Callithrix jacchus: one gene and its partner. The protein of the gene in region 1 interacts with the protein of each later gene in a biochemical or structural test. Links are inferred from orthologs where the notes say so. Each region holds a gene or a part of one and is shown on either strand. Other genes may lie near its edges.

The links.
Region 2: the proteins of LRP2 (region 1) and CLU form a complex in vitro, tested with the Homo sapiens proteins (3 studies listed by BioGRID). The link is inferred for Callithrix jacchus from reciprocal best matches to the Homo sapiens genes LRP2 and CLU.

The regions. Positions count from the first base shown.
Region 1 is NC_133507.1:60,359,079-60,362,385, forward strand, and holds the end of LRP2 (low-density lipoprotein receptor-related protein 2), read left to right. Parts: intron 1-693; coding exon 694-765; intron 766-947; coding exon 948-1,115; 3' UTR 1,116-2,660; downstream 2,661-3,307. UniProt on the Homo sapiens protein: Multiligand endocytic receptor. Acts together with CUBN to mediate endocytosis of high-density lipoproteins. Mediates receptor-mediated uptake of polybasic drugs such as aprotinin, aminoglycosides and polymyxin B.
Region 2 is NC_133514.1:14,088,070-14,092,594, reverse strand, and holds the start of CLU (clusterin), read right to left. Parts: upstream 3,072-4,525; 5' UTR 2,986-3,071; coding exon 2,841-2,985; intron 2,551-2,840; coding exon 2,472-2,550; intron 2,292-2,471; coding exon 2,167-2,291; intron 476-2,166; coding exon 327-475; intron 1-326.

The DNA of each region.
Region 1 (3,307 bases):
CCAGGGTGATTCTCTTTGGGTTCTCCAGTTTGTGGGCCTCTGGGTCCCCTGAGTAATCATTACCTGCCCGTCTACCTGCAATTTCGTTGTATAATCTTGCTGTGACTCAGCAACTGTAGGACAATAAGTGTACCTACCTCCAGGAGTTAAGAAAACATCAGAAACTGGTAAAACTCTTAGAATAATTCCTGACACACAGTAAGCACTCAACAAATGTTAGATGTTTTTGTTATTATTATGATACAGGAGGGAATGATGAAGGGGGAAGGGATACAAAGAACGTACTTGTAGAGAATAAGAGTTATAGTTTATCTCTGCCCAATTTTCAGGCAGCCCCAGAAATCTTTTTTTCTCCAGATGCACCTTGTATGTGTCTGTTTTATGTGTTCTCTCTGTAGTGAAGTAGCCAGTGATCTGCTTGTAGACATTATGGCACAGATTCTGTAAATTATAAATTTGAAATTAAAGAAGTATCTAAAACCATTTGATGAAAAGAGCCTGGGGAGTTTCAGTTACTGTTCAGGGACCATAGGAGAAACTGAAAATTTACCACATGGGCTCAATCACGTGGTCCTAAGTCCCAAATTGCTTTATCCTTCAGTAAGAAGAGATTTTAAAATTGAGACAGGAAGAAGAGAAACTCACAAAATAATTCCATTACTGAGAGAGTTTTGTTTTCCCCTTTTCATTTAGGTGACAAAATGGAATCTCTTCAGACGAAAAGCTAAACAAACTACCAACTTTGAAAATCCAATCTATGCCCAGGTAATTTTTAACAATTTTTCTTAGCACAGACATTCTTTCTTAGAAATTATTTGCTTGGTTAAATTGGACACACACTTAGATTATTCTGAGCAGAGCGGCCACAAACTGTCTTCTTTATGAAAAATCATGTATGGTTTCTTTGCGGGAATAAATGGCTGATCCCTGCTATGCTGTGTTCTTAGATGGAGAACGAACAGAAGGAAAGTGTTGCTGCGACCACACCTCCATCACCTTCGCCCCCTGCTAAGCCTAAGCCTCCTTCAAAAAGAGAGCCAATGCCAACCTATTCTGCAACAGAAGACACTTTTAAAGACACCGCAAATCTTGTTAAAGAAGACTCTGAAGTATAGCTATACCAGCTATTTAAGGAATAGTTAGAAACACACTTTTGCACAGATATTTTTTACAAAGAGATGAAAAAAGTCAACATTCAGTACTTTATGAAAAATATATTTTTTCCTGTTTGCCGATAGTTGGAAGTATTGTGTGTGTCTTTTTTTACTTATGCCATCTCATATTTTTACAAATAATTATCACAATGTATTATATGTATATCTTTGCACTGAAGTTGTCTGAAGGTAATACTATAAATATACTGTATATTTGTAAATTTTGGAAAGATTATCCTGTTACTGAATTTGCTAATAAAAATGTCTGCTGACTCGGGTAGTGGTCATGATAGTCAATGATCCAACGAGAAAAGGAATTGACTTGGGACCTTTAGCCGTGTCTGAAGAAGAGGCACCGCTCATATCTCCTATAAAATTATCTAGGAAAGGAGTGCAGACTCCATTCCTGGGTCCATTTTTACACATTAGCGCTTAATGTTCAATATTACACGTCAGTTTGATTAATGGGTATATTGATAAGGGCCACTGTGTGTTATATAGACATCTGAACTTGACTGTAGACTCCTCAGATAATACAGAAGGTAGAAAAAGCAATTCAGTTTGGCCCTTCTGCATGTTGGCATTGTCTAACCAGAACCCTCTGTTTCATGTGTGTTCTCTCACTTACTGCCAAGGCAACATTTTTATTTGTGATGTCTATGAGGAAATCCCATATCATTAAGTGCCACTGTCCTGCATTGAGTTTGTAGTTAATTAAATGAGCTCTTCTGCTTGATGGACCCTGAAGCAATCTCTGCCCTCACCTGACATCCGAGGTGGTCACCTACCATAGTAGCTGGAGCTCAGTAGCTAAATTTCTGAAACCAAATCTGTGTCTTCATAAAATAAGGTGCAAAAAAAAAAAAAAAAAAACCCCAGTTAAGCAAAGCCTCAACTGGGTTTCTGTTTCTATGAAAATATCATTGTAATCACTATTTATTTCCTAAGTTGAACCTGAATAGAAAGGGAAACCATTCTTATTAAGCTTTTCCTAGGCCCTTTGGCTAAATGTGTACATTTATATTCGAATGTACTGTACAGTCCAGATCTTCTCTTTAATTTTTATTGCTTTTTTAAAGAGCTGGGGTCTTGCTATGTTGCTCAGGCTGATCTTGATGTCCTGGGCTCGAGTGATCCTCCCACCTCAGCCTCTTTAGTAGCTGGAATTATGGGCATGAGCCACTGTGCCCGGCTTCCAGCTCTTCTCTTAAATAGTGGGCAGGTGTAGTCTCCACAACAGGAACCATGGCAGGAATACACACTTTCCCATAGCAAATAGCATTCCTGGCTCTCTGTGCTAATATTGCACATTTGTTAAACAATGAATGAATGGATGGATGGATGGATGAATGAAACATATACTACTGATTATTTTATTCCAGCTTTCTCAAAATATTTCTTGCTCATATTTTGAGTGCTGATTGTAATTACTTTGAAGTGTACTTTGAATAGACAAACAACTGGAAATTATGCTGCTGAAAAATTTCTAATAAATGTGTATTTTATCAGATGTTTTCTGTGTGCTTCATTAGCCCCAGTCGTGAATCAGTTGTATTTGCTGTGTAAAAACTTGAGGCTTTGCGTGCTCTCAGTAACACCAGTTCTGTACCACTCCTTCCTGGAAGTGAATCCAGAGCGATTTGATTAAAAATTAAGCTTCTGCATTCATTTTGTATATGTCCATCATAGTCTGGTATAAATTATAGGAAACAACTCTCCAGAAACAAGTAGATATCAGAGTCCCAAGTAATCACCGGTATAGCCAGTCCTTGAATGCTGTCCATGGCTAAGGCAGACCAGGGAGAAAGGGTATATATTTCTGTTTCTCTAATAACTAACAGTCTAACAGTCATTTGTCAACAGTCAAATGTCTAACAGTCATTTGTCAAGAGGACAATTTCCCAGCCAGCTCCTTTCTGCATAGGATGTGGGCCATCTTCCTGCCGTTAAGCTCTCTGAGCCTCAGCTGTGGCCTCTGTAAAATAGGGGGCTTTGTTGTGAGAGTCCAATGTGGCAGTGTATGAAAAGAGTGTAACCCAATGCCCAGCATAAGGTATACCCTCAGTCAATAGAAGCCATGACTATTATCATTTATGAAGTAAAGGGAAACTAGAACAGCCATTTAGGCGTTTTTAAAAGTTCCTTGGGTGATT
Region 2 (4,525 bases), on another chromosome or scaffold:
ACCCCACTCCGGGCCCCTGCTGCCACCCAAACCAGAGCCTGCTTGGAGCCAGCACGTGGTCAGGGTTTAGAAACATCTATTGAAATGAATCTGGGCATTAGGCCCTGAGCCAGGCTCATAAGAAATCCAGATCCAAGACCTCACCCCCTGATGCTTTCAAACTCCAATAAACCTTCCCTCCTTCTTAACTTCGGCATCAGCTGACACAGCCTGGGAGGACTGTGGGTCACCATGGCAACCCAGCAAGGCACCGTGCTGTGACCCCCTCCCTCCTCCCCTCCCTCTGGTGGGATGGTCAAGGCTGGGCAGCCTTCTCGGCTCCTGACCTCTTTCTTCTTCTTGGCTTCCTCTAGGTTGCTAAGCAGTGTCTTGCGCTCTTCATTTGTTTTTTCTATGAGAGTCTTGATCTCTTTCACTCCGTTGACAGCATTTTGAATTTCCTTATTGACATATTTACTTCCCTGATCGGACATTTCTGCAAGAGAAGCGCAAGAGGTAGCATGAGGTGAGAGGAAGGGATGGCCTCGGGATATAACCCTGGAGTGAGCAGGAATGGCCAGAGAGGCCCGTTCAGTTAAGGGGCTGTCAAGGCTGGGATCCCCACCCCCCCCCCGCAGACAGCAGCACAGTCCCAGCCTTGACCTACACAGGCTCCCATCACAGGCCCCTTGCTCTCACTGCTCAGATTTGCAAACCATGGGAGCCGGTACACCCCGGGGGAAACGGCAGAGCTGTGCCCAGCCACTGCCATGTGCCCCTGGAGAATGAGCCGGGTGCAGAAGAAACTTGTCAAGGAAAAATATTTTTTAAAAACCCAGAAGTGGTCAGCTTTGAAGTATCAAAATATAAAATATTGTTATTTTGGACACAAGTCTTTCTAGAGTTCAGTTTAACCAGATGTGTATTTCTTTTTTCCAATGCACAGTGCCAGGTGACAGAAATAAGATGAGGAAATGACTAAGGCATAGCACTGGTGACAGATGCAGAGAAACACTGTGTCCCCTAAGTGCCACTTCACTGGTGCTTATCCCATGCCGAGCACTGCACCAAACACTTCATGTGCAGTTTACAGAATGCTCCAGCCCCACTACCATGCCCACTTTGCAGAGGGGGACATGGGAAGTGTGGTACGATAGAGGGTCCAAGTGTCAGTCAGGCAGGAGGAGTAGGTCCTGGAGGTCTATCATACAGGTGGTGCTTGTACTTAATAACACCATACTGTACCGGGAAGTTCGCTGAGAGTAGATTTTAAGCGTTCCTACCGCCCCACTGTAAAAGTAGTCATCATTTCCATGTATGTACATTTCAAGACATCATGTCATATACCTTAAATATACACAATTTTTATTTGTTCATTATCTCAATAAAACAGGGGTTGGGGAACGTGTCATGAGATCAAGAGAGTGACTCAGAGTCACCCAACTGAGAAGAAGTGGAACAGACTCACACCCAGGTCTGACTTGGGGTTTTTTTGTTTTGTTTTGTTTTGTTTTTGAGACAGAGACTCGCTCTGTCACCCAGGCTGGAGTGCAGTGGTGAGATCTCGGCTCACTGAGACCTCTGCCTCCTGGGTTTAAGCAATTCTCCTGCCTCAGCCTCCGGAGTAGCTGAGACTACAGGTGTCTGCCACCATGCCCAGCTAATTTTTGTAGTTTTAGTAGAGACAGGGTTTCACCATGTTGGCCAGCATGGTCTTGATCTTTTGACCTTGTGATTCTCCCACCTCGGCCTCCCAAAGTGCTGGGATTACAGGCTTGAGCCACTGAGCCTGGCCTGATCGGGGTTTTTAACAATGATCCTGCAGAAGCGGTCAGCTCCCAGGAGGGACAAACTCCAAACGGGAGAGGGATAAGAGCTCCAACGGTCCAGACACAGCTTCATGGAGGAGGCTTGGGAGCTGGGCCAAGGGGCCTGGGAAGGGAGCAGCTGAATGAAATGCAGCAGCCAGAACGGGCTTGGGAATTGCCTGCAAATGCCGACAGCCTGATGCCCACAGAGGCCTGGGAGCTGAGGCTCGGAGGGGGTCCAGACACAGACACCCAGATCCAGTGCACTAGATCAAATGGTCTGTAACACTCGGGGCGTGATAGAGAGGCCCTGAGTGGAGTCAGCAGCCCTGCGCTCTGACCTCACCACCCTGTGGAACATCATACTTGGTCTACTCACCCTGGAGCTCATTGTCGGAGACCGACTGGTCCCCCAGGACCTGCCCACTCTCCCAGGTCAGCAGCAGCCCCACAAACAGCAGCAGAGTCTTCATCATGCCTCTGATTCTGAGTCCTCGCACGCCTCTGTTTGCAGGAAACAGGAGACCGTCATGGGAACAGCTAGACAGCCTGCTGGCATCCTGCCCACCTGCCGCCTGCAGCAGCTCCCCAGGGTTTCACCGCCCTCGCTGTCCCCCCAGCTAGCACTGCTGCACTTTTATCCCTGAGGAAACAGGGGGAAAGGACCAGACTTGCCATGGATACCTCAAAAGAAAGCGATGGCAGGAAGTGCAAGGAGGGAGGGACCGCAGGACAGCAGCATCCAGTGGAGGAAACAAGAACCCTGGCATCAGAGGAGCCGGGCTATTTTCCAAGCCACATCCTCCCCTGCAATCATTGAGGCACACAGGCTTTCTGCATCCCGGCCTCCTTGTCCAGAGTGGCGTCGATCATGTCACACACTGAAAATATCTCCCTTGGGTCACGTATCCGTCCCTCCGCATGCCACCTCCACAGAGGGACTGCATCCCAGAGACCAGCCCCGTCCTCTGTGATGTGCCTCCATATCTTCCCCCAGCAGACACCCCCCCCATCCACCACAGCGCCGCAGCCCCCCGGAAGTCTCAACACTACCTGAACTTGATTTTCTTTGTTTTTCTGTCTCTCTCTCTTTTTTTTTTAAGAGACCAGGTTTCACTGTGTTAGCCAGGATGGTCTCCATCTCCTGACCTCGTGATCCGCCCACCTTGGCCTCCGAAAGTGCTGGGATTACAGGCATGAGCCACCGCACCCGGCCCACAAACTTGATTTTCAAGAGCCGGAGGCAGCAGCAGCTGCCCTCACACCGAATCCATCTGCATCCCTAGTGGGAGCTTTGGGCTGGGCTGCCTGTGCATTCAGGGGTAGAAGTAGTGGAAGCCAGGAAGGACAATTCCCTTCTAAGAGTACAGAGGGTTCACAGTGGCCCAAGGAGTAGGCTTCCCAGAGAAAGTCCTTTTGGAAGGATGAGTCCCTTTGCTCTGCCAGGCCCTCCACACGGCCCATCCCTCTAAGCCTACAGCAGGCTGCCCTGCCAGTGTTCCTGCCACCACTGGGCTGGCTACCCTGAGCCAAGGGGCACAGGCCACAACCCTGGTCTTACACAATGGACCCTTTCCCAGAAGCTGAGGCTGTTGCATAAAACAGAAACCCCTCCCCCTGTACCCTCTCCATCATCGCCCCTCCCAGAAACTGCTTATCTGAGCTCACTCATTTCCCATAACAGAACCAACAGGAAGGTGGGGTTCCCCTTCCTGAAATGGTTCACATCCAAAGCCAGCACAGCCCAACAGGCCCATCTGGACACTCGGTAGGACATTAATAAGGAGCACCTTTCATGAGAAGTAATCAGGCGCGCAGAGCCAGGGGGCAGCGTGGGAGAAGATATGGGTCAGCGCCTTCCCCAGAGACAGGGTGGGTGGCAGAGACCAGGATCACCAGGAAGGCTCTGGTCTCATGGGCTGTGCCCCAGCTGCCCACTGAGCCCTGAAATGCCTCCAGCAGGAGCCTTTGTCATGCCAGAGACACAAAAGCAGCCAGAAACACCCCTCTGCCAGGCGCCCCTGAAAGCAACAACTTCTGGAAAAAACCATTCAGACCTAGGTTCTGACCAGAAGACAGGGTGTTGGGCCCTGAAGAACAGGGTAGCCAAAGGCAAGATGCAGGAAAGTTCCAGACTCAGCAGCGGGCACAGAGTCTGCTCCAGACAGCCTGGGGTCCCTGGTGAGCCATCCAGCTCAGAGCTGGGAAGGGAGTCGTTCTCTCACCCAACCCATCTACCTTAGTGGGGAGGCTGAAGCCCATAGATGGCACAGGGCTCCCCATAGCCCACAGCATGCTTGTGGTAACCCCAGGATAAGAGCCCAGCCCTCCCAACCCCCACAGCCCAGTGTTCTTTGCTTGCTTCCAAGTCACTTAAATATCTGAACCTCAGTTTCTTCGCCTGTAAAATGGATCTAATCCAGACCTCAGAGAGGGGAACACATTCTGTAAACACTAGGGTCTTATGTAATGATAGTAAATCCCGACTGCTTCAAAATTAGTCTGAGGGCTGAGGCTTGGCATTGGCAGTGTCTAACCAACATGTCTAAAGAGGGGCAGGGAAACCAAGGCAGGCACACAGAGGCCACCTGTGGTCCCCCGGACTGTGTGGCTCTGCTTTGATGAAATGATTGACCACTTTTTAAAGTACTTATGAATCACTGCAGGCTGGTTATAATGTTAGTTCTGAGTCTGAATCTGCTTTTCCAGCCAGTCTGCAGGTGATATGGATGCTGCTG